Elephas maximus indicus: one gene and its partner. Each later gene encodes a partner of the first gene's protein in a complex. Links are inferred from orthologs where the notes say so. Each region holds a gene or a part of one and is shown on either strand. Other genes may lie near its edges.

Region 1 (15,911 bases):
TCTCAGCAGGAGACAGAGTACCTGGTAACCAGGAATACACATTTTCCTACCCACCCCCCCCCACCCTTCTTCCCTCTACGCAGTCTCCACCGCTTTTCAACGGGCCACGGTTGCTAGGCTGGAGAGACACCAGCTCACTACCACTCCCACCAGCTGGCCCCTTCAGCACCATTTTTTTGCTTGTTTGTTTTTGGTTTGTATTTTTGTTTGTTTATTAATATTGTTTTTTGCTGTTGTTACTGCTTCTCTCTCTCCCTTCCTTCTTTCCTTTCTCTCATTCATCCAGCCCCATGCACCTCCCCCAACTTCATGGTGGACTGTGCTGTACCACTCAGCTGAGGAGCACCTGGCACACAGCCTCCCTGGGTCTGCACCACCCCCACAGGCCGTCTCTCTCAGTGCCACACTTTTTATTTTTCTTTATCTTTCCCCTTCTCCTTTTCCTTCTCCCTCTCACCAAAGCCCTACACTACCTCCACCCCTTACTGATGGGCCATGCCCATGTGATCTGGTGAGAGAGACATTAGCTTGCCAACACCTTAATCCTGCCTCACCCCCACCAGCCAGCTCCCCTGCCACTGTATTATTTTGTTGTTGTTGTTGTTTATTTATTTTTGTTTGATTGTTGGATGCTTCTCTCTCTTTCCCCTCTTTCCTTTCTCCCACCCACACACCCCATACATCACCCATGCCCCTTCTAGACAGGCAAGCCACACCGCTCAGCTAGAGACCACCAACACACAGCCTTGCTGGGTCTACCCGCCCCCCCCGACCACAGAATCCTACCATGCCACCATTTAATTTACTTTATTTATATTTTTATTTCATTTTTTTCTTTCTTTTGCTTTCTCTCTCTACTTTCTCTTCTTTCACCCACCCACTTAGCTCTTCACATCATAACCTCTCCTTTCCCTCCTTTCACCCACCCACTTAGCTCTTCACATCATAACCTCTCCTTTCCCTCCTGCCTATCTGCCCTGTGCACCAAGTATCAAACTGCTGAGCAGTACTCACGCGGTACCCTGGGCCCTTCCCTGCACCACCCGAAGCCTCGCCCTATCACCCTCCGTTCATGCTGCAAACTACCCATCTCCACCCCTCCTCCCCTGCTGGACCCACCCTGCTGCACCATAGCTGAGTGATTGGCCCTGCCCACCTGGACAAGGTGGTGAGAAGTATTGTGCCCACAGGTGAGCAAGCAGCAAAACACACCCAGCCCACCTCCCCAGATATAACTAAATAAAACAAAACAGCAGTACAAAACAATCAATAAATGAAGAAAATAATTCCTGAATTTTCTGGAGATAGCAGGAGATATCAAAACATTAAAAAAAGGAAAAGAAAAAAAAAAAAAAAACAGGGGAGGATGCCTCCAGAAAGCGACCAAAATAAAACACCAGACAACCTTCTGCTAGAAGTAAAGTCACTAGAACTACCTGATAGGGAATTCAAAACTCCAATATTCATGGTTTTCCAACATATGAAGGAAAATGCAGACAAAAATAAGGGGAAAAAAATGAATAAAATCATGGGAAATATAGACAGTCATGGAAAAGACAAACAAAACAATTGAAGATTCAGGAAAATAATATAGGAATAAAATGTCAAAATAAATTAAAACTAGAAATCACACAAAAACAGCAATTAGAAATCCGAAAGATAAACAACAAGATTTCAGAAATGGACAGTGCAGCCAAAGGTTTTAGGAACAAATTTGAAACAATGAAGACCAAACCAAACCCAAGCCCGTTGCTGTCAAGTCGATTCTGACACATAGCGACCTTATAGGACAGAGTAGAGCTGTCCCATAGAGTTTCCAAGGAGGACCTGGTGGATTCGAACTGCCAACTTTTTGGTTAGCAGCTATAGCTCTTAATCACTGCACCACCAGGGTTTCCACAATGAAGACAGGGTCATTGAAGTTGAAGACAAATCCTAGGATACCATTTTGTTTGAGGAAAAATCAGGGAAAAGAACGAAGAAAAATGAAGAAACCCTGAGAATGATGTGGGAAACAATAAAAGCAAAAATTTGCATATGATCCGGGTTCCAGAACAGGGAGAGAAAACAGAATACACAGAGAGGATCATTGAAGATTTGTGGACAGAAAACTTCCCTAATATCATGAAAGATGAAAAGCTGATCATCTAAGAAGCTCAATGAACCCTGTATGGGATACACCCTAAAAGAAAAACACCAAGACATATCGTAATCACACTTGCTAAAACCAAAGACAAAGGAAGAATCCTGAGAGCAGCTCGAGAAAAACTAAAAGTTATATACAAAAGGGAAACAGTAAGACTAAACACTGATTACAAGGCAGAAACCATGCCAGCAAGGCAATAGGATGACATATAAAAAATCTTGAGAGAAAAAAACTGCCAACCGAGAATAATATATACTGCAAAACTCTCACTCAAATATGATGGCAAAATTAGGACATTTCCAGATAAACAGAAATTAAGGAAATATGTAAAAAACCAAACCAAACTTATAATAATTATTAAAGGGAGTCCATTGGTTAGAGAACAAACATCAGACAACAGCCTGAATCTGACACGTAAGACAGCATCGGACATATTCCAACCTAGATAATGAACTCTAAAAAATTTATAACTGAAACCAGAGAGATTCATGTGTAGATAACAACAATGTCAGAACAATAAAAGGGGGAATAAATGGTGTAGGTATCAAATGGAGAGGAACTCAAGGCATTATCAAGTAATAAAAGACTGGTTTAAACTTGGGAAGATAAGGGTAAATTTCAAAGTAACCACAAAGAAAGTTAACAGACCTATTCATCAAAATAAAGAAGAAAAACAAAATCTCAGTAAACACAAAATCGATAAAAATGAAAGAAACAAACAAAAAAATCCACAAAAAAAGGAATTCAGGACAGAAGAGTAAGAGGAAAAAAGAAAACGTCATCACCACAAAAAAGCACTACAAAATGACAGCAATAAATGTACACCTATCAATAATCACACTGAACATAAGAGACTTAAATGCACCCATGAAGAGACCGAGAGTGACAGAATGGATTAAAAAAACAGGATCCATCAATATGTTACCCACAAGAGACACACCTTAGGAACAAAGACATAAATATATTAAAAATCAAAGGAGTGAAAAAATATATCAAGCAAACAGCAACCAAAAAAGAGCAAGAGTGGCAATACTAATCTTAGATAAAACAGACTTGAAATCAAAATCCACCATAAAAGACAAGGAAGAACATTATACAATGATTAAAGGGACAATCCATCATAAAGGCATAACTACAATAAATACCTATGCACCCAAGGACAGGGCTCCAAAATATATAAAACAGACTAACAGTACTGAAAAGAGAAACTGACAGTTCTCTGATAGCAGGAGACTTCAACACACCACTCTTGGTAAAGGACAGAAAATCTAGAAAGAAACTCAACAAAGATTCAAAAGATCTAAAAGCCACAATCAACCCTCTTGACCTCAGAGACATATATAGAACACGCCACCCAACAGCAGCAAAGTACGCATTCTTTTCCAATGCACATGGAACGTTCTCCTGAACAAATCATGCCTTAGGCCACAAAACAACCTTCAACAAAATCCAAAATACTGAGATAATACAAAGCATCCTCTTTGATCACAACACCTAAAAGTAGAAATTAATAACAAAAAGAAAAATGGAAAAAAAAATAAATGGAAATTGAATAACACCTTGCTTAAAAACCACTAGGTAATAGAAGAAACCAAAGATGGAATAAAAGATTCCTAAAATGAAAGCATATTGTACCAAAACATCTGGGACACAGTAAAATCAGTGCTCAGAGGTCTATTTATAGCAATAGATGCACACATCACCTGATCTTCGACTGAGGCCCAAAGGCCAGCAAATGGGGAAAAGAGAGTCTTTTTAACAAATAGTTCTGGCAAAACTGGATGTCCATCTGCAAAAAAATCAAACAGGACCCATACCTCATACCACACACAAGACTAACTCAAAATGGATCAAAGGCCTAAATATAAAACCAAATACTATAAAGATCATACAAAAAAAATAGGATCAATGCTAGAGGCCCTAATATATGGCATTAACTGGATATAAGCCATAACTAAAAGTACACAAACACCAGAAGATAAGCTAGATAACTAGAATCTTCTAAAAATCAAACACTTATGCTCATCCAGAGACTTCACCAAAAGAGTAAAAACAGAACATACAGACTGGGAAAAAAATTTTGGCTATGACAAATCTGACAAAGGTCTAACCTCTAAAAAATCTACAGGAAAATCCAACACCTCTACAACAAAAAGGCAAATAATCCAATTAAAAAATGGGCAAAGGAAATGAACAGACACTTCACCGAAGAAGATATTCAAGCAGCTAACAGATACAGGAGGAAATGCTTGGGAAAAAAGAAATTTACCAAAAAAGTCAACTGAGATTCATTTTGGGTAGTGTAACGGAGTATTCTTTCTTTTTTTTCTATTGTTCTATATCTTTCAAATTCTCTATCATATGCATATTCCTACTTTTATTTTTTCTGTTTACTATGAAAAATTTCAAACACATAAAGAAAACTAATATTAAAAGATCAGATACCCATCAGCTATCTTCAACAAGAAATCAAAATTTAGACATACATGTGTCATCTTTCCCCTAATAATTTTTTTCCTGTAGTATTTTAAAGCAAATCTCAGGCATCTTGACACTTTATGCTAAGTGCTTTAAAAAAGTCATATTCTTATATAACCACAATATCACTATTTCATGGAGCCCCGGGGGTTTAACAGTTAAGCATTTGGCTGCTGGTGGTTCGAACCCACCCAGCAGCTCTGAGGGGGAAAGCTTTTGCTAATCTGCTTCTGTAAAGGTTATAGCCTCGGAAACCCTATGAGGTGGTTCTACTCCATCACAGTGTTGCTATGTGTCCAAATCGACTCAACAGCATCCAACAACAACCACTTTTACCTAACAAAGTTAACAAATAGTCCTTAACATTATTCAATACCTTTGTTGTTGCTGTTAGTTGCAAACCAGTCAATTCTGACTCATGGCAACCTCATGTGTACAGAAACTATTTCATAGAGATTTCAAGGCTGTGACTTTTCAGAAGCAGATTGCCAGGCCTGTCTTCTGAGGCACCTCTAGGTGGGCTTGAACTGCCAGCCTTTCTAGTAATCTAGCGCTTAACTGTTTGTGACAGATTCTCCATTATCACTTCTTAATTGCCTGCCTCTCCTAGGATGGTCGAGCGACCTAAGTCTTGCACTCTGGGTTTACAACACAAAAGCAGTATATCTGCTTTCTTCGGTGTGATTGGGACTGATTATAATATGCTTACTATATCCCAACTGGAACAGTAAGCAACATCATAATAAACATCATGAATATTCAATTACACTACAAAATGAAGTTGTCAAGGATTTCATTTTACTTGCATCCACAATCAATACCCATGGAAGCAGCAGTCAAGAGATAAAACTACGTATTGCATTGGGCAAATCTGCTGCAAAGGGCCTCTTTTCAATCTTGAAAAGCAAAGATGTCCTTTGAGGACTAAAGTGCCTCTGACCCAAACCATGGTGTTTTCAATGACCTCATATGCATGAGAAAACTGGAGAATGAATAAGAGGACCAAAGAAGAATTGATGCCTTTGAACTATGGTGTTGGTGAGGAATGTTAAATATACCACGAACTGCGAGAAGAACGAACAAATCTGTTTTGGAAGAAGTATACCCAGAATGCTCCTTAGACTTCATCTCACATACTTTTGACATGTTATCAGGAGGGACGAATCCCTGGAGAAGGACATCATGTTTAGTAAAGCAAAGGGTCAGCAAAAAAGAGGAAGACCCTCAATGAGAGGATTGACATAGTAGCTGCAACAACAGGCTCAAACATACTTACTATTGTGAGGATGGTACAGGACTGAGCAGTGCTTCGTTCTGTTATACATGGAGTGGCCATGAGTTGGAACCAGCTCGTTGGCACCTAACAGCAACAACATATTCCAACTGTTACTGGATAACTGGATATATCTCACTTAAACTAAACATCTTTTCCCCCAAACTTGCTCTTCTTCCTGACTTTCCATTCTTAATTGATTAATCATTCTTCATCTAGTTACTGGAGCCAGAATCCCAGGTGCTTTTAAGTCATTTGTTTTTCATTTTAAAATAATTTTAAACTTACAGAAAAATTGAAAGAATACTATAAAAACTTTGTTCAAATTCCTTTGCCCAAATTTCCCAATTGTTAGCATACTACATTTGCTCTATTAGTCTTTCTGTCTAGATATATTGTTGTTGCTGTTAGCTTCCATTAAGTCAGCCTTCTGACTCACGGTGACCATAAGTACGCAGTAGAACTGTTCAATAGGGTTTTCTTTCTTAATTGCAAACTTTACAAAAGCAGTTCACCTGGCCTTTCTTCTGTGAAGACATTGGCTGAGTTCGAATCGCTGACCTTTAGGCTAGTAGCCGATTGCAAACTGCTTATGCCACCCAGACTCTTTATCTATATTCATTATTTATATTTGTTATCTTTATATATACATTTATTTCTGAATCATTTTGGATTAAGTTGCAGACATGATGCTTCATTACCTTTAAATTCTTCAGTGTGTTTTTTATAAAAACAAAGCTGTCTCCTACATTACCAGAGTACAGTCATTAAAACTAGGAAATTAATATTGTTAAAATACTATCACGTAATCCACAGATTTCATTTCAATTTTGTCATTTGTTCCAATAATGTATTTTACAGCCAAATAATTCAATTCAGAGTCATGTGTTCCATTTAGTTGTCACGTCTCTTTAGTCTCCTTCGATCTGAAAAAGTTCTTTACTCACTCCTTATCTTTCATGACCTTGACACATTTGAAGAATACAGGTTTGTGATTGTCTCTCAATTTGAATTTGACTAATGTTTCCTCATGATTAGACTCAGGTTATGCCTTTTTGGCAGAAATACCACAGAAATGTGTTTGAAGTGACTCTTACCAAGTGTCACAAGATGTAAATTCACCCCATTACTGTTAACTCTGATTACCAGTGCCGGATTTCTTCAAGTTTCTATTTTTTTTCCTTTGTAATTCATAAGTATTTTGTGCAGAGATAATGTGAGACTATGCAAATAATTTGTTCCTCTTAAAACTCTCACCCACTAGTTTTAGCATCCATTGATGATTCTTGCCTTAATCATTTTTTACTGTAATGGTTGTGTCATGGGTTGAATTATGTCCCCCCAAAAATGTGTGTTTATCAGTTGGGCTGGACCATGATTCCTGGTGTTGTGTGATTTTCCTGTATGTTGTAAATCCTGCCTCTATGATGTTAATTGAGGGAGTACGGGCAGCAGTTGTCTTAGTGAGGCAAGACTCAACCTCCAGTATTGGATCGTGTCTAGAAGCATTCTCTTGAGACTTAAAAGATACAGCAAGCACAGAGACAAAAAAGATAGAGCAAACACAAAGACAGGGGGACCTCATCCCACCAAGAAAGCAGCACCATGTGCAGAGCGTGTCCTTTGGACACTGCATCCCTGCGCCTGAGAAGCTCCTCAACCATGGGAAGATTGAGGACAAGGACCTTCCTCCAGGGCCAACAGAGAGAAAAAAACCTTCCCCCCTGGAGCCAATGCCCTGAATTTGGACTTTTAACCCACTAAACTGTGAGAAAATAAAATTCTCTTTGTTAAAGCCATCCACTAGTGGTATTTCTGTTATAGCAACACTAGATAACTAACACAGGTTGCCCAGTGATTTTTGTACCTGCATCACTTCCTCCTTCATTTATTAGTGGCATTCTAGTATAAGGAAGAGCTTTATCTCCCATTTTTAAAAGCTCATTTATTTTTATCAGTATGCATTCAAGAGCTGGGGTCACTGGATGGCAGCTAACAGCAGCACCAAGTATCTGCCTAGATCACTGGTTGGATAGTGGTGCCATAAACCAAGATGAAATCCAGACAGGGAGGTTTTGGGTGGAAAGTTGAAGACTTCAGTTTGGGACACATTGGGCTGATAATATTTCTCACTGCTTATTTCACAGGATTTAAAGAAACGAATGAGATATATTTTGTGTAGAATGGACTGTAAAGTGGAATGGAAAGCCAATGGCAATGTAGTCTGGCCTCCACAGAAAGATGGATAACGCTTTCACTGTACAAACGAAGCAACAGGTTACCACGTCTGACTACCACTGCAGAAAATGGCCTCTAATTCAAGAACGGAGGAGTTTTAACTTGTCTAGTATTTTTCCACCCTTGCTGACTCAGAGGTAAAGATGGCGCCTGCGGCACAAGTAAGTGGGCGGGGTTATTACGTGAGATAAAAAATGACGCTTTAATTTTTGTTTTGTTTTAAAAACAGTGAGAGCTCACCGCTAGACGAGTAGTGATTAATTTTTTCTCTAAGATTTTGTCTGTAGTACAACTATTCTCCACGTTTTAGGCATTTTTTTTTTTTTGTGGGCGCGAACGCGTGGGAGATGAGGCGCCTGCTTCTTGCTTCATTCACGTTTCTTTTCCTTGGCGGCATCCACGATAGCCTCCCCGCCTCACTTTTCCCCCTTCTGTTTCTCCCAGCGTTTGTTGCAGTTCTGAGGCGCAAAGCCCCTGTTCCGGGGCGAGGGTGGAAACGCGCTCAGGCTCTGACGAGCACCGCGTATACCCGTTTCTCATCCTGCTCCCAGCTTAGAGGAGCCCCGCGCACCCCCCGGAGCGCGTGCCCGTCAGCCCGCCAGCCGCAGGCCAGCGGACGCGCGCGCGTTGCCTCCGCAGGCGGCGTACTGCGGCACCTCGCGGGCCGCTGCGTAGGCGGTGCGGGGGCGGGGCCGTGGACGGGGCGCGGAAGAGAGACTGCGGTCCAGATAGAGAGCACTGGCTGCATCGGTTGTCATGGGAACGGCGGCGTAGGCTAGCGCTGACGTCAGCGGCGGGAGGAGGGTGCACTGCCCACACTGCGGCATCTGGCTCGCTTGCAGATCCTGGGTCGCTGGCGGCTGGGCCATTGCGTAGCAGCCCAGCTCCCGGCCCACCTCGCCTGGCGCCGGGAGCCGCTTCCCACCGCCCGGGCTCGGCTCTGGCGGGACAGGCGGTCAGCAGCTCTGCGCCCTCCGCTTTGTGAGTACGTGGCTGGCGGGCTGGTGGTGGGAGCCCAGGGCTGGGGACTCGTCCTGCCCGGGCCCTCTCGACTGCGTGGACTGATGTGGTCTGAGCGCGGGGGCGGAGTGCCGGCTTGGCCGGGCTGGGGCCGCACTGCGCCACTGCCAGGCGTCCGGGAGGGGAGGGATGTGATTTTTGAGAAACACCTCTACGCACTTTTCCGCTCCCTTCCGTGGAAGACTCTCTTCGTGACTTGTTAGCGTGGTGTCCTAAGAGGGAACGCATTTCTTGCTTTTACTGCTCCCGGTTCAAGCTTAAACGCTTTAAAATCAGATGCGTATGTTTATTTCCTTTTATAGTGTCAACCTGGTGCTGAATCTTGAGCCTGTGAAATGCCTTCTTAAATACATCTGAAAAACGGTGGTGAATGTTATATTTGTTTAAAAAATAAAAGGTGTAATAGGGTCATTTCAGTATACATAAAAATAGAAAAAGAGTTGATAATTTAGGAATCCCTACCAAATGGTTGGGCCTTATTTCAGCATTGCTGTGAAATCATCTACAGACTGGCGTATATGCTTTTACTTTTTTTGAGAAAGACATGGCAACAGTTATTTCACCTGTTGCATTAATGGTTGTTGTTATTGCTTAGGTTTTCAGGAAAAAAAGATTGCTTGTTATGAGGACCCTGGGAAATTTTTAAAAGAATATTTGAAAAATTCAAATACCAAAAGAGTTTTTTAAAACCACATTCAGAATATTGTTTATGAAGACTTGTTGATTTGCAGGAGAAAAATGTGGCAGGCTGCTTCCATAAAGATTACCCAGAGGAACCCAGTGCTGTCAAGTCGATTCTGACTCATAGTGACCCTACAGGACAGAGTAGAACTGCCCCATAGAGTTTCCAATGGGCTCCTGGTGGATTCGAACTGCCGACCCTTTGGTTAGCAGCCATAGCACTTAACCACTATACCACCAGGGTTTCCATGAAGATTATGGCCAAGAAAACCCTGTGGGGCACTTGTACTGCCCTATGGGGTCTCTATGAGTTGGAATCAACTCCATGGTAAAGGGTTTGTTGATGATTTATTAATTGAATTATTTATATGGGAATTTTGTTTGTTCCTTGCTATTAAAGTTGATTAAGGAGTGAATCATCCAAGCCTCTCTGCTTTTTTTCCCCTTGATCTTTAGTCACTTACTGATTGACAGTTGAAAATCAGGAGATCAGGGAAAATTAAAATGAGCTGAAACAATCCAGTTATGTTTCTTACTTAGTATCTCTAATCATTTTATGTGAAAAAGGTATCTGAGGAAGAAGTTTTAAAATAATGGCATGTATACCAAAACCACCCAAACCCAGTGCCATCGAGTCGATTTCGACTCATAGCGACCCTATAGGACACAGTAGAACTGCCCCATAGAGTTTCCTAGGAGCACCTGGTGGATTCGAACTGCCGAACCTTTGGTTAGCAGCTGTAGCACTTAACCACTACGCCACCAGGGTTTCAAACCCACTACTGTTGAGTCAGTTCCCACTTCGCTGTAAGTGGGAATTGACTCAACAGTAGTGGGTTTGATTTGGTTTGGGTTATGAGGTTCAGGGATCTCTTTTTTAATCTGATCTTAACTTCTGATCTTAAGTCAGATAATGTCGCTGTCCATTAAATAGTAGTCACTAATTCTGTAATGTTTTTTTCTGTAGTACACAGTAACATTGAAAAATGATTAGGTCAGTTATGTATCTGCTATATTATTACATAATATTTTTTAAAAAGCTGGTTGCTCAACTGGACTGGACCAAAAGCAAAGAAGTTTCCGGAATAAACTGAATGCTTCGAAGGTCAGCGGAGCAAGGGCAGGGGTTTGGGAACTATGGCTTAAGAGGACTTCTAAGTCAATTGGCAAAATAAATTCTATTAAGAAAACATTCTGCATCCCACTTTGAAGTGTGGTGTCCGGAGTCTTAAATGCTAACAAGCAGCCATCTAAGATGCATCAATTGGTCTCAACCCACCTGGATCAAAGGAGAATGAAGAACACCAAGGTCACACGATAACTATGAGCCCAAGAGACAGAAAGGGCCACATGAACCAGAGACTTACATCATCCTGAGACCAGAAGAACTAGATGGTGCCCGGCCACAACCGATGACTGCCCTGACAGGGAGCACAACAGAGAACCCCTGAGGGAGGAGAACAGTGGGATGCAGACCCCAAATTCTCATAAAAAGACCAGACTTAATGGTCTGACTGAGACTAGAAGAATCCCGGCAGTCATGGTCCCCAAACCTTCTGTTGGCCCAGGACAGGAACCATTCCCGAAGACAACTCATCAGACATGGAAGGGACTGGGCAATGGGTTGGAGAGAGAAGCTGATGAAGAGTGAGCTACTTGTATCAGGTGGACCCTTGAGGCTGTGTTGGCATCTCCTGTCTGGAGGGGAGATGGGAGGGTAGAGAGGGTTAGAAACTGGCAAAACGGTCACAAAAGGAGAGACTGGAAGGAGGGAGCGGGCTGACTCATTAGGGGGAGAGTAAATGGGAGTATGGAGTAAGGTGTATATGTTTATATGTGACAGACTGACTTGATTTGTAAACTTTCACTTAAAGCACAATAAAAATTATTTAAAAAAAAAAAAAAAAAAGCCAGTTGTCCTTGAGTGGATTCCGACTCATGGTAACCCCTTGTGTGTCAGAGTAGAACTGCTTATAGGGTTTTCAATGGCTGTGACCTTTCAATAGTGGAAATAAATCTCTGGCCCTTTCTTCGGAAGTGCCTGTGGGTGAACTTCAACCTCCAGCCTTTTAATAAATACCCTAGTGCTTAATCATTTGCACTTCTAAAACCAAACCTGTCAATTCTAACTCATAGCGATCCTGTAGAACAGAGTAGAACTGCCCCATAGGGTTATCAAGGTGATAAATCTTTATGGAAGCAAACTGCCACATCTTCTGCCCACAGAGCAGCTGGAAGGTTTGACCTGATATCTAGGTTACCATCCAAGCATTAAACTGCTGTGCCACCAGGGCTTCTCCCTACACCACCCAGGGGCTCATAAATAATATTAAAAAAATTTGTTGCTGTTGACTCCATTCCAACTCATAGCAATCTTGTAGGACAGAGTAGAACTGCACCATGGGGTTTCCAAGCAACTGCTGGTAGTTTCGAACTGCCAACCTTGTTAGTAGCTGAGCTTTTAACCAGTGCGCCACCAGGGCACCTAAATAATATTCCCCAGTGCTGTTGAGTCAATTCCGACTCATAGCGACCCTATAGGATGGAGTAGAACTGTCCCCGTAGAGTTCCCAAGGAGCGCCTGGTGGATTCAAACTACCGACCATTTGGTTAGCAGCCGTAGCATAATAAATAATATTAGTGTTTATAAATTTCATTGCATATTGTATTATTAAAAAATGTTGTTAGGTGCTGTTGAGACAGTTCTGACTTACAGAGATCCTATGTGCAACAAAACTAAACACTGTCCATTTCTTGCAACATCATGCTATGTTTGAGCATATTGTCGCAGCCACTGTGTCAGTCCATCTCCTTGATGTTCTTCCGCTTTTTTGATGATTCTCTACCACGTGTTTCAGTTATCTAGTGCTGTTATAACAGAAATGCCACAAGTGGATGGCTTTAGCAGAGAGAAATTTATTCTCTCACAGTCTAGTAGGCTAAAAGTCCAAATTCAGGGCGTCACTTCCAGGGGAAGGCTTTCTCTCTCTCTCAGTTCTGGAGGAAAGTCTTCATCATCTGTCTTCGTCTGGTCCAAGAGCTTCGCAGTGCAGGGACCCTGGGTCGAAAGGACGCGTGCTCCTTGCTCTTCTTGCTTGGTGGTAATGAGGCCCCTTGTCTCTCTGCTTGCTTCTCTTTTATATCTCAAATGGGATTGACTTAAGGCACAACCTGGTCTTGTAGATTGAGTCCTGCCTCATTAACATAACTGCCTCCAATCCTGCCTCATATACATAGAGATAAGATTTACAACACACAGAAAATCACATCAGATGACAAAATGGTGGATAATCACACAGTACTGGGAATCATGGTCTAGCCAAGTTGACATACATTTTTGAAGGATACAATTCAGTCCATAATACCAAGCATGATGTCCTTCTCCAGAGACTGGTCTCTCCAGATAACATGTCCGGAGTACGTCAGACCAACTCACACCATCCTCCCTTCTAAACAGCATTCTGATTGTACTTCTTTCAAGACAAATTTGTTCCTTCTTCTGGCAGTCCGTGGTATAGTCAATATTCTTTGTCAGTGTCATAATTCAAATATATCACTTCTTCTTTGGTTTTCTTATTCATTGTCCAGCTTTTGCGTGCATATAAGGTAATTGAAAATACCATGGCTTGGGTCAGGTCCACCTTAGTCCTCAAGGTGACATCTTTGCTTTTTAACACTTTGAGGAGGTCTTTTGCAACAGATTTGCCCAGTGCAAACGTCCTTTGATTTCTTGACTGCTGCTTCCATGGGCGTTGATTGTGGATCCAAGTAAAATGAAATCCTCAGCAACTTTAGTCTTTTCTCCATTTAACACGGTGTTGCTTATTGATCCAGTTGTGAGGATTTTTGTTTTCTTTGTGTTGCGGTATAAACCATACTGAAGGCTGTGGTCTTTGATCTTCATCAGTAAGTGCTTCAAGTCCTCTTTCACTTTCAGCAAGCAAGGTTGTGTCATCTGCATGACACAGGTTGTTAATGAGTCTTCCACTAATCCTGATGCCGCGTTCTTCTTCGTATAGTCCAGCTTCTCGGATTATTTGCTCACATTCAGGCTGAATAAGTTTGGTGAAAGGATACAGCCCTGATGCAGATTTTCCTGACTTTAAGCCACACAGTATCCCCTTTTTCTGTTTGAGCAACTGCCTCTTGATCTGTGTAAAGGCTCCTCATGAGCACAATTAAATGTTCTGGAATTCCCATTCTTCGCAGTGTTAGCCATAATTTGTTATGATCCACACAGCCGAATGCCTTTGCGTAGTCAGTAAAACACAGGTAAATATCTTTCTGGTATTCTCTGCTTTCAGCCAGGGTCCATCTGACATCAGCAATGATTTCCCTTGTTCCACATCCTCTTCTGAATCTGGCTTGAATTTCTGGCAGTTCCCTGTTGATGTACTGCTACAACCGCTTGTGACTAATCTCCAGCAAAATTTTACTTGTGTATGATATTAATGATATTGTTCAATAATTTCTGCTTCCGGTTGGATGACTCTTCTTTGGAATGGGTGCAAATACGGATGTCTTCCAATCGTTTGGCCAGGTAACTGTCTTCCAATTTCTTGGCATAGACTAGTGAGCATTTCCAGTCTTGCATCCATTTGTTGAAACATCACACTTTGTATTTCTTCAGTTCCTGGAGCCTTATTTTTCACTGATGTCTTCAGTGCAACTTGGACTTCTTCCTTCAGTACCATTGGTTCTTGATCACATGCTGCCAATGAATGGTTGAATGTCGACCATTACTGTTTGGTACAGTGACTTAATTGTGCTCATTAGGAACCTGTATGTAGACCAAGAGGCAATGGTTAGAACAGAATAAGGGGATACTGCAGGTTTTAAGTCAGGAAAGGTGTGTGTCTTGGTTGTATCTTTTCACCATACTTATTCAGTCTGTATGCTGAGCAAATAATCCAAGAAGATGAACTATTTAAAGAAGAACGTGGCATGAGAATTGAAGGATGGCACAACCTTGCTTGCTAACAGTCAAGAGGACTTGAAGCACTTACTGATGCAGATCAACGACTGCAGCCTTCGGTATGGATTACACCTTAACATAAAGAAAACAAACATCCCCACAGCTGGACCAATAAGCAAAATCATGATAAATGGAGAGAAGATTGAAGTTGTCAAGGATTTCATTTTACTTGGATCCACAGTTAACATCCATGGAAGCAGCTGTCAAGAAATCAGAGGACATATTGCGTCGGGCAAATCTGCTGCAGATGACCTCTTTACAGCGTTGAAAAGCAAGGATGTCATTTTGAGGACTAAGGTGCACTTGACCCAAGCCATGGTATTTTCAGTCACCTCACAGACGTGGAAAAACTGGACATTGAGTAAGGAAGATTGAAGAAGAAGCAACACCTTTGTTGGCTAAGAATATTGCACATATATGCAGATAATGCCCAAATCTGCAGCCCAGGCCTCCCTGCTGTATTAATGTATTCTGTCGTCTACCACAACCCAAACCCACTGCTCTCGAGTCGATTCCAACTCATAACAACCCTATGGGACAGAGTAGAACTGCCCCATCAGGTTTCCTACGCTGTAATCTTTACAGAAGCAGACTGCCATATCTTTCCCCCGTGGAGGGGCTGGTGGGTTTGAACTGCCAACCTTTCAGTTAACAGCTAAGTGCTTTAGCCACTGCACCATCAGGGCTCCTCCTATTGTCAACAAAACATAACATATATAACCATCATTTATGGAGGGCTTACTATGTGCTAGGCATCATGCTAGTGTTTTGCTTGCATGATCTCGTTTAATCCTTACAAAAACGCGTGACTTCAAGGACTAGGAAACCGAGATTCATGGAGATTAATCAGCTGGCAGACTGGGGGGGAAAAAAAAAACATTGCCATCAAGTCAATTCCGACTCATAGTGACCCTATAGGACAGGGTAGAACTGCCCCATAGGATTTCCAAGGAGTGGCTGGTGGATTCAAACTGCTGACCTTTTTGTTAGCATCCGAGCTCTCAGATTCAAATCAAGGATCTGACAATGGGTCCTATGCTCGTAGTCACCCAGTGGCCCTCAGATACCTAACTCGACATGCCCCACAGTAAACTCACAGA
Region 2 (15,953 bases), on another chromosome or scaffold:
GTAAGTTTCTTGGGAAGAGGCATTTTAGATTTGGCTAGGACGTATAAGTAAACTGCTTCAGAGGCTGAGCTCCTGCATATTGCTGACCTATTTTATTCTCCTATTGACTCTGGCAATGTCAGCGTGGTAATACCGATGTGGTCTCTGTATGTCAGTGTGGTAATATCCATGTGGCCTCTGTATGTCAGTGTGGTAATACCCATGTGGTCTCTATGTGAGTATGGTAATACCCACATGGTCTCTATGTCTGTGTGGTAATACCCATGTGGTCTCTGTATGTCATTGTGGTAATACCCACGTGGCCTTTGTATGTCAGTGTGGTGATACCTACGTGGTCTCTATGTCAGTGTGATAATACCCACATGGTCTCTACGTCAGTGTGGTAATACCCATGTGGTCTCTGGTATGTCACTATGGTAATACTTATGTGGCCTCATCTGTTCTACCTGCTGACACACTGCCTGCAAGGAGACTGGGAAAGGCAAGGATCCTCCTGCTCTTGGTGCTCTGAGTAAACTGGCCTGGGTTCAGCAAAATCCAGACAGATCATTGCTCAGGTCATTTTTCTGTCATTACTATAGCCCAAATGTGGGAGTAGAGCAGGGAGTCTGTAGAACATGTAAGGATGCTACTTGAAGCATTGTTTGTGAAAATAAAAGCAAAAACAAAAACATAAATGTCTTATACCCATTGATGTTGGGTAGATTCCGACTCATACAGACCCTATAGGACAGAGTAGAACTGCCCTATAGGGTTTCCAAGGAGCAGCTGGTGGATTCAAACTGCCAACCATTTGGTTAGCAGCCGAGCTCTTAACCGTCCCGCCACGAGGGTCCTAAATGGTTTACGGTGTACCCATATTATGGTAGAACAATCTATTGCTATATTTGTAGCAGATGCTGTTCCTCACCCATGACTAGCATTTCAGTGTGTGCCAGCCTGACTTACAACTGCCAACAACTACATTTCCCTGTCCACATGTGTGTCAGGCCAGGACTGTTAGGAATTAAGACCTCTTGGGAGTAACCTTCACTCAATGGCTGAGAGGGGCTAGTGTATAAATACCATAGCTCGCTCACTGCTCGAGTGAAGCCTTTGAGGCCCATGTTCTCAGACTTGAGCCCGCATCAGAATCACCTGGAGGGCTTGCTAAAACACAGATTGCTGGGCTTCTGTCTCAGAGTTCTGATTTAGTAGGACTGGGGTTAAGCCGAAGAATTTGCAGTTTAATAGATAGAGGGCTGTTAAAGGTATAGTGAGCTTTGGTAGTTTGTATCTTTCAAGGAATTTGTTCATTTCATTTATTAGATTTATTGGCATAAAGTTGTTTATAGTATTTCAATATTATTCACTTAATGCCTCATAGCAGTTGTAATGATGTCCTCTCTCCCATTCGTAATACTAGTAATTTGGGACTTCTTTCTGTCTTGATCTATCAAAAAAAAAAAAAATTTTTTTTTTTCTTTATCTAGCTAGAGGTTTACCAATTTTATTGATTTTCTAAAGCAAGGGTTATCAAACTTTTTCTGTAAAGGCCAGATGATAAATAATTTAGCTTTTGTAAGCCACTGGCCTCTGGCAACTCTGTAGTCACACCATGAAGGCAGCCATAGACAGTATGTAAACAAATGAGATGGCTGTGTTTCAATAAAACTTAACCTACAGAAACAGACAGTGGGCTTGATTTGACCCATGGGCCATTTTTTGATTCATTGATTTTGTTGATACCGTAATTTATTTTATTATTTTAATTGTAGTCTTAGTGAGAATATATACCACAGAACACACACCATTTAATAATTCCTACATGTACAATTCAGTGACATTGATTACATTCTTCAAGTTGTACAACCATTCTTGCCCTCCTTTTCTGAGTTGTTCTTCCCCCATTAACATAAATTCTCTGCTATCTAATCGTTTGAGTTGCTGTGGTAAATTTGATTCCGTGTAAATAGACCTTGAAAAAGCATAATGCTCAAGGCAGACATTCTTTACTAGTTAAGCTAAACTACCGTTTTGTTTAAAGAAGACTTCAGGGGGTATTTTTGGTTTAAAGTTTAAAGATTATCTCAAGGCAGTAGTTTTGAGGGTTCATCCAGCCTAAATGGCTCCAGAAAGTCTGAATAGCATGAGAATTTGAAATTCTGTTCTGTATTTTTATCCAAAAAAAAAACCCAGTGCCGTCGAGTCGGATTTTTCTTTAACTTGACTTCATTTCTGTTTCCATTGGGGTGTGAAAATTTGGAGTCCTCCTGCCCCCATCCCAGTGAAAAGCAAGGGGTACTCAGTGTTTTCTGTTCACAAAGGTCTTTATAGAGCGCTCATAACCCAGCTATACCTCAGCCCCGGGGAGGGCTTCTGCCTTGTCAGCCTGTCCCTTCAGGGCTAGTAGCTTCTCTGATTTCTGCCTGACTGCTATGAAGCATAGAAGTCTTTCTGCCACTTCCTTGCTGTACAAGGACACAGGCATCACTGCCAAGCCTTCCATGGTCTTTTCACATCTGTTCCTACTGCAGGTCTTGCTGCTGCCTCCCCGGGAAATGGGATCAATCACTCCCCGGTCCCTCTTGTCTTAACCGCCTTCTCAGATCCATTAGCCCATCTTGGAAACAGGCTATGGGCCTCTCCAGCTGGGACCTTCTCCATGTCTCCTCTTATAACTTCATGTTCTTCTTTCCTCCTTCTCCTTGAAGTCCAATGAATCTTTGCATACTGTGTGCGCTGCTATTGCTGTTGTATGATGTCAAGTTGATTCTCACTCATAGTGACCCTACAGGGCAGAGTAGAACTGCCCCATAGCATTTCCTAGGCTGTAAATCTTACAGGAGCAGATCACCAGGTCTTTTCTCCCGTGGAGCCACTGGTGCATTCCAACTGCCAACCTTTTGGTTAGCATCTGAGCACTTAACCACTGCATCTCTATTTTCTGTTGGGTAGAGGCTCAGTTTTGTGGAGGCAGGTTGTTTTTTAAAAATTTTAAGTATACAATTTGGTGGGTTTTAATATAGTCACAAAATTGTGCAAATATTAAACCAAAAAAAAAAAAAAGGAAACCCATTGCCGTTGAGTCAATTCCAACTTATTGCTTACAAGATAGAGTAGAACTGCTCCATAGGGTTTCCAAGGCTGTAATCTTTAAAGAAGCAGACTGCTACATCTTTCTCCTATAGAGCAGCTGATGGGTTTGAACTGCCGACCTTTCAGTTAACAGCTAGACTGCTTAACCACTGCACCACCAGGGCTCCATGTACAACAATTATCATGATCTAATTCCAAAACATTTTTCTCACCTCAAAAAGAAACCTTGCCAAAAAAAAAAAAAAAAAGAAACTTTGTACCTATTAGCCGTCGCTCTTCATTTCCTCTCCCTCTCACTCCCTGGCAAGCACTTATCTATTTTCCGTCTCTGTGGATTTTACTAGTGTGAAATTTCATGTAAACGGAATCATACAATATGTGGCCTTTCACATCTGGCTTCTTTCACTTAGCATGTTTTCAAGGTTCTACCATGTTACATCATATATTAGTACTTTATTCTTTTCATGATGGAATAATATTCCATTGTATGGATATACCACATTTTGCTTAACCTTTCATCAGTTGATAGACAGTTGGGTTGTTTCTACTTTTTGGCTATTATGAATAATACTGCTATAAACTTTTGCATACGAGTTTTGTTTGGATTCATTAATCCATCACAGACCCAGGTTATGGGACTCTCCAGCAGGGACCTCCAGAATGTTTTTCAATTCTCTTAGGTAAATACCTGAAAGTGGAATTGCTGGGTAACTCTTTTTAACCTTTTGAGGAACTGCCAGACTGTTCTCCAAAGTGGCTTCACCATTTTACGTTCCCATCAGCAAAGCTCGAGGGTTCCAATTTCTCCACATTTTCACGAATATAGTTACTATCTGTCTTTTGATTATAACCATTCTAATGGATGCAAAATGGTATCTCATTGTGGTTTTGATTTGTATTTCTATGATGACTAATGATATTGAGCATATTTCTGTGTGCTTATGGGCCACTTGTATATCTTCTTTGGAGGAATGTCTATTCAAATCCTTTGCCATTATTTTTTTACTTTTACGATTATTGATATTTTTATTTGCCCTTTTATTGTTGATTTGTAAGAGCTCTTTATATATTCTAGATGTTACTGATGTTAGTTACTGTTGAGCTGATTCTGACTCATGGTGATCCTATGAGAGTAAAACTGCTCCATAGAGTTTTCAAGACTGCTATCCCGAAAGCAGATTGCCAGCCCTGTCTGGGTGGATTCAAACCGCCAACTTTTCAGCTAGTAATTAAGTACTTAACTGTTTGTGCCACCCAGGGACTCATAAGCTTGATTGTTGTTGTTGTTAGGTGCTATTGAGTCAATTTCAACTCATAGCGACCTCGTGTGACACAGTAGAACTGTCCCATAGGGTTTTCTAGGCTGTAATCTTTACGGGAGCAGATTGTCAGGTCTTTCTCCCACGGAAGAGCTGGATGGGTTCCAACCACCAACCACCATCTCTTTGTGGTTTTAATTTGCATTTCCTGATGATTAATTATGCTGAGTATCTTTTCATGTACTTATTTGACATTCATATGTCTTTGCAAAGTCTCTGTTCAGGTCTTTTGCCCATTTTCTAATTGGGTTGTTTGTTTTCTTACTGTTGAGTTTTCAGACTTCTTTTTATATTCTGGATACAAGTCTTGGACAGATATGTGATAAGGCAAGTATTTTCTTCCAGTGCAAATATTTTCTCCCACTGTGTGGCTTGTCTTTTCATTGTCTTAACAATGTCTTTTGCAGAGCAACTTTTTCAATTTTGATGAATTCCAATTTTTCTTGTTTTTCTTTTATGGATCCCGCTTTTGTTGTCATATCTAAAAATTCTTTGTCTGATCTAATTGCACAAAGATTTTCTCCTATGTTTTCCTCTAGATGTTTTATGCTTTACATTCAGGTACATTTCAAGTTATCTTTTGTATAAGGTGTGAAGTATGAGTTGAGTTTCATTTTTTTGCCTATGGACATTTAAGTCCATCATCCAGCATCATTTGTTGAAAAGGCTATACTTTATGCATTGAATTTCCCTTGCACCTTTGTCAAAACTTATTGACTCTATTTGTGTGGGTCTATTTCTTGACTCTCCAGTCTGTTTCATTGATTTATGTTTCTGTCTTTTCACCAATGCCATACTGTGTTCATTACTATAGCTTGATAGTAAGTTTCAGTTCAGGTTGTGTGAGCTCTCCAACTTCATTTTTCTTTTCAAAATTGTTTTGGCTATTCCAGCCCTTTTTCTTTCACTATATTCCCTAAACAATTTCTTTGAATTTCTCCTATTCAGGATTCATTGACATTCTTGAATCTGTAAATTTACGTCTTTTATCAAATTTGGTAGAATTTCAGCTATTATTTCCTCAAATATTTTTTCTGCCACACTCTTTCTCCTGTCCTTCTAGGAGTCCAATGTCACGAATGTTAAGACTTTTGATATTTTCTCACAGGTTTCTGAAACTCTTAATTTTTTTCAATCTTTTTTCTCTCTCTGCTCCTTAGATTGTATATTTTCTATTTACCTATCTTTGTGTTTACTGACTTTCCTGTGCCACCTCCACTGTGCTATTGAGCCCATCCAGTGAATTTTTATTTCAGTTATAAAATTCCATTTGTTTCTTTTCTTATAGTTTCTATTTCTCTGCTGAGAATTTCTTTCTATTTTTTTTCAAGAGTGTTTGTCCTTAGTGCCCACAGTAGAGCATGGCTATGATAGTTAAAACCCTTGTCTGATTAGTCTGATATCTGGGTCCTCTTGAAGCTGGCATATGCTGATTGCCTTTTCTCTTGAAAATTATTGAGATTTTACTTTTAGTAAATTTTGTATAATTATAGTGGTAGTCGGAAACCCTGGTGGCATAGCGGTTAAGTGCTATGGCTGCTAACCAAAAGGTTGGCAGTTTGAATCTACCAGGCACTCCTTGGAAACTCTATGGGGCAGTTCTACTCTGTCCTACAGGGTCGCTACGAGCCAGAATTGACTTGACGGCAATGGGTTTGGATAGTGGTAATCAGGCCATTCTTCACATCAGGGTAAAAACTCCTTCCAGCGATCTGATAAAAGTCATGAACTCTTTCCAAATAATGCCAGTAAACAAAGCCCCTGGTGGCACAGTGGTTAAGTGTTTGGCTGCTAACCAAAAGGTTGGCAGTTCAAATCCACCAGCAGCTCCTTGGAAACCCTAACAGGCAGTACTACTCTGTCCTATAAGGTCGCTATGAGTTGGAATCAACTCAACTGCAATGGATTTAGTAAACAAGGAGAAAACGTAAAAACTAAGTTTACCTGTATAAAAATAATACTAGTTATGATCACTCATACAAATAGCGTATATTTCCATACCCTGTGGTATAGTAGGAAACCCTGGTGGCATAGTGGTTAAGTGTTACGGCTGCTAACCAAAGGGTCAGCAGTTCAAATCCGCCAGGCGCTCCTTGGAAACTCTATGGGGTAGTTCTACTCTGTCCTATAGCATCGCTATGAGTTGGAATCAACTCGATGGCACTGGGTTTGGTTTTTGGTTTGGTGGTATAGTAAGGAGCCCTGGTGGTGAAGTGGTTAAGCACTTGGCTGCTAAATGAAAGGTTGGCAGTTTGAACTTACCAGCTGCTCTGCAGGGGAAAGATGTGGTAGTCTGCTTCTGTAAAGATTACAGCCTTAGAAACCCTACGGGACAGTTCTACTCTGCTCTACAGGGTGGCTGTGAATAGGAATTTACTTGATGGCAATGGGTTTTTTTGGCTTCGGTGGTACGGTAACTATTTTGCATATAATTGTGTCAGATTGACTTTGCTGTAAGTTTGTTTATAACACTAAACTGTTGATGCAGTTCTACCTTATCGTTTGTTATTGGGGTGATAAGTGTTATCCATTCACAACTTTAAAAGGAAAAATCAAAGTGACCTTTTTTTTTAGGAGCTAGTATTCTGTCTCCATGGTTTCATCTGTTGAAATAATTATTCCCAGGTTGGAAACCGTGTGCTCTTATGGAATGAACCAGTAGGTGAAAGGCTGTGAGGCACATGGATGGCGTTCAGGCCTCAGAATCCGGACAAACCTGAGCTAGAATCTCAGCTCCTTCACCATTCACTAGTAGTTCAATCTTAGCAAGCCTTCACGAACTTCACCTGTTAAGTGGGAATAACAATACCTACTTGAGGGGTTTCTAGGACACCTTGCATAGGAACAATGCAAACCAAGTGCCCAAGCTATATTAGACCCTCACCCCCTGCTGAGTTCATTCCACTCATGGCAATTGCATGTGTTTCAGAGTAGAACTTCACTCCATAGGGTTTTCAATGACTGTAATTTTAAGGAGCCCTGGTGGTGCAGTGGTTAGGCTGTTAACTAAAAGGTTTGAAGCCATCAGCCGCACCATCAGAGAAAGATGTGGCAATCTGCTTCCTTAAAGATTACAGCCTTGGAAACCCTATGGGCATTTCTAACTCTGTTCTATAGGGTTGCTATGAGTCGGAATCAAGTCGATGGCAATGAGTTTGGTTTGGCCGGTTTATTATTATGGTGAGTCCTTGATGTTACACAAGAGCAGAAATGCCACCCAGAGTTCCCAGTGGCATGAGGTTTCTGAGTTCTGGGGACAATTACTTATTCTGTTGGTGGAGTGGCAGATGTCAAACAGTGATAAATATTGACATCCCCAAGGTGCCAGGGAGCCAGACTTGAGGCCATGGTGTGCCCTGCCTCCTTTGCTAGGCCAATGAAGCATGACTCCTGAAGGACATTTTGTTGGCCTTTCAGGAGGCCAGTGCAGTTTCTAAAGTGACTTAACATTCACAGGGACAAACCAATTCAATAACATCTTTTCTTTCCTGACTATTAACTTCCTTGTTTTCTCTTTCTCTATCTCAGTGAATACTAACACAGCGACTAATAAGTCTCTTGGCACTTGTTTTTTCTTCCAAGAATATCTTTTCGTGTCTAAGTAAATGCCACCACCTGCCCTAGCTCTTTTGGGAAGAGGGGGTGCACTCTTTGAGTCACAGTAACCGATTTTCAGGTCACAGCTTTCGTGTGCTCCGTGGAAGGCAGTGCGGTACAGGGGAAAGAGTAGTGGCTGAGATCACCCGAGCCTCGTCTCCATGACCATTCTTCATCTATACGAAACGGGCATGCTGACCACAGGCGTTGCGTTGCTGCAGGCCGCGGCGGGAACAGTGAGTTGCGCACGCAGCGGCTCGGCGACCTTCGGGACTCAGCGTCTCGGTTGCCAGGGGAACTAGGGGCGGCGCGCTTTCCGGCGCAGTCGCGGCGCAGCACAGCCGTCATGGCGGAGGCCGTCTGGAGCTCTGACACCGGCGAGGCCGTGTACCGCTCCCGGGACCCCGTGCGCAACTTGCGCCTCCGGTAGTAGCACTGCCCCGGCACCTGGGCTCCGTGCTTTTATCCCCTCAGATAATTCGAGCCTGAACTCAATGTTCTGAGGCCCCCACTTCCGCTTACAATCCTCGCCACATCTTCATCTTCCCACATCTCATCGCACTACCTCAACCCTTCTCCACCCCGAGCCTTCCAGCACAGTTTCCAGACTCACGCAGTCCTCTTCAGTCTCTGTACTACCCAAATTCCTCGGAGCCCTGAGTCCTCAATACGCCCTCTTGTTTTCACCTTTCCCCTGAGAGCCTCGTGTCTCACTCACCTCCCTTCAGTCTTCTGCACCTAACACACCTTGGCAGCCCCACCCTGCTCAGTGTTTTGCTTTTTCCATACTTGCTCTGTGTTTATCTTCTAGTTGTGTGCCTTGTAACGCGTATTTTGGACGTCTCTTTTCCTGACAGAGTCCACCTGCAAAGAATTACATCAGGCAACTTTCTCCATTACCAGCCTGCCACCCAGCCCGGGAAGGACCTCATAGACTTGGCCACTTTTAGGCCCCAACCAACCGCCAGTGGGTGTTATGTGGTGATGCAGGCCCTCCTGGGGACCTGAGGGAAGGGCCTGGGGTGGTAGACTTACCTCTTACGACAGAGTAGACCCAGGTCTACTTTTTGACAGCAGCCTTTTTACAGATGAGGAAGCTAAGGCACAGAGAGGTTGGGTTTCTTGTGAAGGTCCTGCAGCTGGTTAATGTCAGAGCCAGTGTTTGAAGCCTGGCAATTTTAGGCACTACACTGTGATTCCTGCCATCAAGTTACTGATGTGAATTGTGGTCATCTGTAGTGAAATAACAAATAACCTTATTTTTGATATGTTATAGATTTGCCTGGCAGCCTAAATACCATTTGAAACAATTTTTTTTTCTAAAAGAAAATATGTCCTAACTCTAAACACATGCATAAACTATTTTAAAGTTGAGGACTTTAAAATAGTCCTCAACTTTACTGCTAGACAAATGTACATATTAACATCAACTGTGCTCTTGCGGTTTTTCTTGTCTGGGAAGCCAGAAGAGTGAGGACAGAGGAGAGTGCTTGTGTTAAGTCACTAGTCGCTGTGCTTTTGTTGTGCTTCTGTTGAGAAATATTCCTGAGCAAGAGCATGGGCTGGTGGGTTGTGAACTGTGTCTCTGAAAAAGACATACTCAGCCAGGAGTGGATTAGGTTTTGCTCTTTAAAAAAAAAATCATTTATTTGACTTTCTTCTTCCCGCCTCAGCCTCTTAAGGTTACAGAGTTTGTGTTTCTAAATACATCGCTTCAGGATTCTTTTCTAGCAAATGCAGGCTGTTGAGATTGAGGAAGGGCTGTTCAGCTTATATTTAAATTTCAGTCCCTGACACTGACTTAGATTTAATAATACTTGGAAGGCAGGACCACCTTTTATTCAAATTAGAGTAGTGGTTAAGATTTCTTGGGTTCTAATCCTGGTTTCTGCACATACTAACCAGAGCACATATTCAGCCTCACTAGTTTCTGTCAGAGTGAGTACTTAATAAATCACTGAACTCCAGCTGGATTTGTCGTAAATATAAGAGCAGAGGCTTTGGTTATAACCAACCACAGTGGCCTTGGTTTGGCTCAAGCAGTTGACTCACTCTGTTGTGTTTGAAGGTGGTCATCGCCCAGATGAAGATGAAGAGGAGGAGGTTGTGATCGGGTGGCAGGAGAAGCTCTTTAGCCAGGTGAGCCAGTGTCACGTGTCAGCTCAGTGTACTTCCATCTGGCCCATCTCCACCTGGCTGGCAACAGGGAAAGAGATCCCCATCTTTGAAAGAGAGGCTGCTGCCAACACGGCTCCCCAGGTCAGGGCTTTGCTGATAGACCCACATCACTAATTTTAAACAGTGTTTCAGTGAGATCTTTGTATTAAGCCTCATCTGATTCTCTGATTATTTTCTCAGATAAGATTCTTGGAAGTGGAATAACTGGATTAAAATATTACTTTGAAGATTATTGATACATACTGCCAAACTGATTTTGGGAAAGGTTGTAACAGTGTATACTGTCCCTTGTTGTGTTTATTGGGTCAAATTCTGACTGCCACTAAGTTTTATGATCTTGGGTACAGCACGTATCATCTCTGGGCCACATGCCATCTGTAGCAGAAGAGTTGCATTAGAATGTCACCCTGGTTCCTTTTTTTGAATCCCCTGCCGACCATTAGCTTAGGTTCTGAAAACATGTCAAATAGCATCAGTTCTATAGAAATAATTTGATTAAAAAGTTACAGGAACAAAAGTTTCAAGTATCCTCAGTAGATTTTTGTTTCCTTGTGGTGACCTCAGTTTGAGGTAGATCTGTACCAAAATGAAGCAGCCTGTCAGAGCCCTTTGGATCACCAGTACCGTCAAGAGATCCTGAAGCTGGAGGATTCAGGTGGCAGGAAGAACCGGCGAATCTTTACCTATACCGACTCCGATAGATACACCAACTTGGAGGAGGTATCGTTCATTCCGAGGTCCCATAGCTCCCTTCTTCCACTTTGCGTCCCCCAGCTTTCTGGCCTCAGTGGGTTCTGTGTGCTAAATCAGAAGCCTGTTAAGGGGAGACAGGTAGCCATCCTAGAGCTCCTGCATGCTGCTGGCAGCCACACTGGAGTAGAGAGGGCACAGTCTGCAGGTGGTGTGGCTGCTGCTGCCTTGTTTGCCTTCTGGAGGGCCAGGGAGCTAGCAGGGACCAGTGTCTTTAGTGATAGCCTTGTAGACTGCCAACTGAAGAAGCAGCCACTGGGCTTGAATTCCTGCTTGAATCATGAAATGAGCCAGGTGAGTGGAGTCTGGAACAACCTAGATAAAATGCATCAGGGTATTCAGCCAAATCTCTGACCATATGGGTTTGGAGAGGAATTCAGTACAGCCATGGGAGGGGCCTTAGGTCTCCAATGCACCTATGTTAACATACCCTTGTGGGTTTTTTTATATTTTCTCCAGTCACTGCATGATGTGTTCTGTCTTCTTAGGGAAAGTTTAAGCTGGTGGAGGGTAGAGCCTGCATTTTTTATTTTTCTCTATGACCTTGTAGATCTCTGCAAAGAGCAGGTGTTAAATGATTGCTTTTGAAAGATGGGCATGCTTTCATGTGTTGGTAGCATGTAGAATTTGAGTTGTTTGTGCTGGAAAAGCAGGTGAAAATGCAGTTAGTGCTCTATTAACCGTATGAGGATTTTCCACAAAATGCTTTTATCCCATCTGGCATCTTTAAACCACCTAGTTAAACTTTAACTAGGCAAACTCACCCAACTTTTTATTGGTATGTTCTCAGGGAATGTTAGGCTGATTTTAATATTAGCCTGTATAGACTCATTTCTGCAGGATAATATGCTACCAAAATCATAGGCCTAGGGGAATTTTCTTTGGGTTGTTTGGGCTACTGCTTCCCTCCGTTAGCATATATAATTTTGAGGTGGCTATACCTGTTTTTTGGTTTTTTTTTAGTTCAGTCACAGATGGGGCTTCAGAAGGAAGACTTCCCCTCTGGAAGTCTCTTGGTTCCATGTGGCCCTGATCAGATGGGTCACACAGGGCTGCTCTCTTTCCTTAGCACTGTCAGAAAATGACCACCGCAACCAACGAGGTACCATCTTTCTTGGTCGAGCGAATGGCAAATGTCAGGCGGCGGCGGCAGGACAGGCGAGGGATGTGAGTGCAAGTGTGTATGGGCGCTGGGGGATGGGGGTCTTTGTGGTCCTGCCATGCCAACATTCTCAGTACGTCCACTGTCTCGAGTCTCCCATTCTGGAACGGGCCTCCACCTGGAGTGTGATCTTCAGGGGCTGCTGGGCAAGTGACCCTTCGTGTGGTGTCTCCCAGGGAGGGCGGCATCCTCAAGTCACGCATCGTCACCTGGGAACCCTCAGAAGAGTTCGTCAGGAACAACCACGTTATTAACACCCCTCTTCAGACAATGTACATCATGGCAGACCTGGGGCCCTATGGAAAGTGAGTAAAGCTTCATACCACCTACTCAGGCCCTCATCCTCTTCTGCTCACACTGACCATCACCTTCCTGTTAGAGTCATCGCTGGGCACATGAGAGAGAAGGACTTTTTCTTCTTAGTTGTACTTGGCAGAAAGTTTTCTTACCACAGATCTCTGTCCTCCCCTGCTGATGGGAGCTGACTCCTTCTTGTTCTTTCCCTGGAACTGGGACTGGGGATCCTGAACTTTGATGTTGATTTCCTGGTTTCTAGGCTTGGCTATAAGAAGTATGAACAGGTCCTCTGTACTCTGAAGGTAGACAGCAATGGTGTGATCACAGTAAAACCTGACTTCACTGGCCTCAAAGGACCCTACAGGTGAGGAGAGGAAGAGTGGCCACTAGGAAAGGGTTAGTGGACACTGACATTCCTTCTCTTGGCTTCACTTCATGCTCCTAGTTGATAAGATCCTTCAAAAGCCCTTAATCTGTCCTAACTTTTAAATTCCCAGGCAGTGGTTCATATTCTGTTCTGGGTCATAGGCCCTTAAGAAGCTGGGGACCCTGCTCTCAGGAAATGTGCAGCTACACCAGTTTGAAAGTGACAACTTCAGCACATACTTAAGTGAAAATAATTCTCGTGGCTGCTGAATGTAGGGACTGACCAGAACAGGGTGAGATGAACTCAAACCAGGTCTCTTCCTCTAGGCTGACTTTTCCTCAACCCCATGCCTTAGAATAACAGGACTGTAAATAAGAAATCATCTAGACCAGCTTGCCCATTTTTCAAGTAAGAGAACTGGGTGCCAGGGATGTTGTACCTTTGGGTTTCACAGTGACTTTGGGGCAGAGATGGGTCCAGACCCCATACTCTGTGAGTCTAGTCCGATGCCCTTTCTGGGTTACCATTTTGCTTCCTTCTTCTAGTCATCATCAGAGCCATTTGCATCATCATATACTTCAAGTGAGCGTATGATCCATGATGACTCATCCCTGGGCTAGGTCTGGAGGACCCCATCTCCTGTGATCAGAGTTGGTCCTTTCATGGCTTTGACCTTACAGAATCGAGACAGAGGGGGAGAAGCAGGAGCTGTGGAAGTATACTATCGACAATGTGTCGTCGCTCGCACAGCCAGAAGAGGAGGAGCGGGAACAGCGTGTGTTCAAGGACGTAAGAGGTGGTTCTTTCCAAGGACCGAGGGAATGAGCTCATCTCTGGGAGCTGAGACCATGTCTGAGTTTGGTGCCAGAAGCTGCTAAGGAAAATCTTGCTCTTAACAGTCCTCTCCTGTCCTAGGAAGCATTGCTGACATATCAGGCAGCAGTTTTTGTTCATATTATGCCAAAATAATAGTTACCATTTATTGAGTATTTGTTAGACCTTAGTAACAACCCCGTGAGGCAGATACTATTATTATTACCAATTTAGGAATTCTCAGGAAACCGAGATTAAAAGCAAAGTAGTCTTCCCAAGATGACACAGCTTGCAAGTGCTGGAGCTGGAAGTTGGCCCCAAACCAACTGACTCCAGAGCCTCTGTCCTTCACTTTAAAATGCCAGTGGCCGAGATGCTTAAGTCTCCAGCTCTCTGTGGCATTTCCCATTGCTGCTACTTTTCTCTATCCCAAATAGAACTGAGCGCAGGGCTGGCTTGGTTCACATGTGGAGTTTTGGTTTGGTTTTTTTCCTCAGCTTTACGGCCGGCACAAGGAGTATCTCAGCAGCCTTGTGGGCACTGACTTTGAGATGGTGAGTCACTTGGCTTCCTGCAGTACTGTGAGCTGTGTGTAGCCAGCAAATTCTGACTGTGGATGAGTGATAGTGCCTCTCCTATAGGTCCTCAACATGTACTCTTCAGCATAAAAAGGAAGGCAAAGGATAGCATATATAAAACTTGTTATGTGTTTTAAAACGTTGCATGTTGGTAAAGAACTGTTAATACACAGAAAAAGATCGGAACATGCATGCATGCTAATGGGGACTTTTCTCTGGGGGTGATTGGTAGATGGGTGTTGAGTTGTGAGGGGGATGTGGAGAGTATTTTTACTTTTTATTCTCTGTACTTAGCTTTGAAATATCAGTGGCAATGTATTCATGTAGTTCTGTATAATTAATTTTAAAAATATAAAAGAAAAATATCTTCCTCATGGTTCAAGTGGACATTTTTCCTAAGTACCTCATAGAAAGGGAAGGGCTGTCATTGGTTTGTCAAATATTTTGGCTCTTAAAAAACAGAACAGTTTAGGTCAGTTATTCTGTGGTCCTGTTCTTTGTCTTCCTTCATTCCAGAGGTTCCATTTCTAGATCTGGAAACAAGGATGGAATTAGTCACTGGTCTCCCCTCTCTGTAAAAAAAATTAACTTTTATTATCTTTGTATTACATAAGCAAAAGATTTTCAGAGTTAAAAAGTTAGGTAAGACAGACAAATGAATAAAAGAAAAAACCCTGTTTTCTTGACCTCAGCCATCTAAAGGAAACAGGGGTCTTCAACTTTCTACTGTACTCCAAAAGGTAGCTGTTATTACTACGCTTGGCTATTATAAATTTCCCGTACTGTGTTGCCCTTCCTGCCATTTAAATGATGTACTTTTTCCCTACATTGTCAATTTTAGAAATGAAAGAAGCAAATTTGTGGAGAAGCGGAGGAAGCAGGGTGGGAAGGGAGTGCAGTAGTAACGAACCAGTCCAGTGTCAGGCCTTGGGCTTTGTGGAGGGGCTGGAGGAGACGTGCTGATTCCCCCGAGACCTCCTGATCTTTTCCCACTTCTCTCCACCTAGACTGTCCCAGGTGCGCTCCGGCTCTTTGTAAACGGAGAGGTCGGTAAGTGTCTTATCAGACTGAGATCTCTTGGCGCTCTGGCAAGTGCGCAGATGGAGCTCTGAAGTCACCTAGCCCACCCTGGTGGAGGCCGTGGGCTGTCTGCATTACATGGGAAGCTCAGAGATGATTCTTCCCTGGAAACAGGGAGGGTTCCTGGCCCTCGAGGGACTTGCTTCCAGGAGAGTGTAGGCTCCTCAGTACTGTGTTGGGTGCTCAGGGTGGTAGAGGAATAAGCTGAAATAGTTTCCTGTTCTCTTAGTTTCAGCCCAAGGCTATGAGTATGACAATCTGTACGTCCATTTCTTGGTGGAACTGCCAACTAGTAAGTAAAATTCATAAATCTCTATTTTTGTACCCATTCAGACAGTTTTCCAGAGATACCCGCTCAGGCGTGCTTCCTCACTCCCCCACTAAACCATTACCCTTTTCCAGGTCATGTATTACTTCCACGTTGCCAAACCCAGTGGTGCCTTCACCTCTCGGAAGCATTTGACGCAGCTGACTTTTCTTCTTAGAAACTCTTCTCTTGCCTTCTGGCTCCACACTCCTCTCTCCTCCTGTCACATTGGTGGCACATCAGGGTCCTTGGCTGACTCCTTTTCGGTGGACCTTAAAATTAGAGTATCCACGGCTGAGCCTAGTCCTTCTGTTACTCTCTATCTATGGTCTTAGGTGATTCTATCCAGTCCCATGACGTTAAATACCATCTGTATTTCTTAGACTCCCGGATTTCTGTCTTAGCCTTGACCTCTTCCCCTGAACTC

The links.
Region 2: AHI1 (region 1) and MKS1 share a complex: the UniProt entries of both Homo sapiens proteins name them as parts of the tectonic-like complex. The link is inferred for Elephas maximus indicus from reciprocal best matches to the Homo sapiens genes AHI1 and MKS1.

The regions. Positions count from the first base shown.
Region 1 is NC_064819.1:205,066,110-205,082,020, reverse strand, and holds the start of AHI1 (jouberin), read left to right. Parts: upstream 1-9,028; 5' UTR 9,029-9,116; exon of another isoform or gene 9,117-9,120; intron 9,121-15,911. UniProt on the Homo sapiens protein: Involved in vesicle trafficking and required for ciliogenesis, formation of primary non-motile cilium, and recruitment of RAB8A to the basal body of primary cilium.
Region 2 is NC_064837.1:35,805,205-35,821,157, forward strand, and holds the start of MKS1 (tectonic-like complex member MKS1), read left to right. Parts: upstream 1-8,011; 5' UTR 8,012-8,340; coding exon 8,341-8,420; intron 8,421-8,851; coding exon 8,852-8,961; intron 8,962-10,062; coding exon 10,063-10,133; intron 10,134-10,736; coding exon 10,737-10,892; intron 10,893-11,991; coding exon 11,992-12,089; intron 12,090-12,260; coding exon 12,261-12,389; intron 12,390-12,640; coding exon 12,641-12,745; intron 12,746-13,428; coding exon 13,429-13,537; intron 13,538-14,058; coding exon 14,059-14,115; intron 14,116-15,146; coding exon 15,147-15,189; intron 15,190-15,448; coding exon 15,449-15,511; intron 15,512-15,953. UniProt on the Homo sapiens protein: Component of the tectonic-like complex, a complex localized at the transition zone of primary cilia and acting as a barrier that prevents diffusion of transmembrane proteins between the cilia and plasma membranes.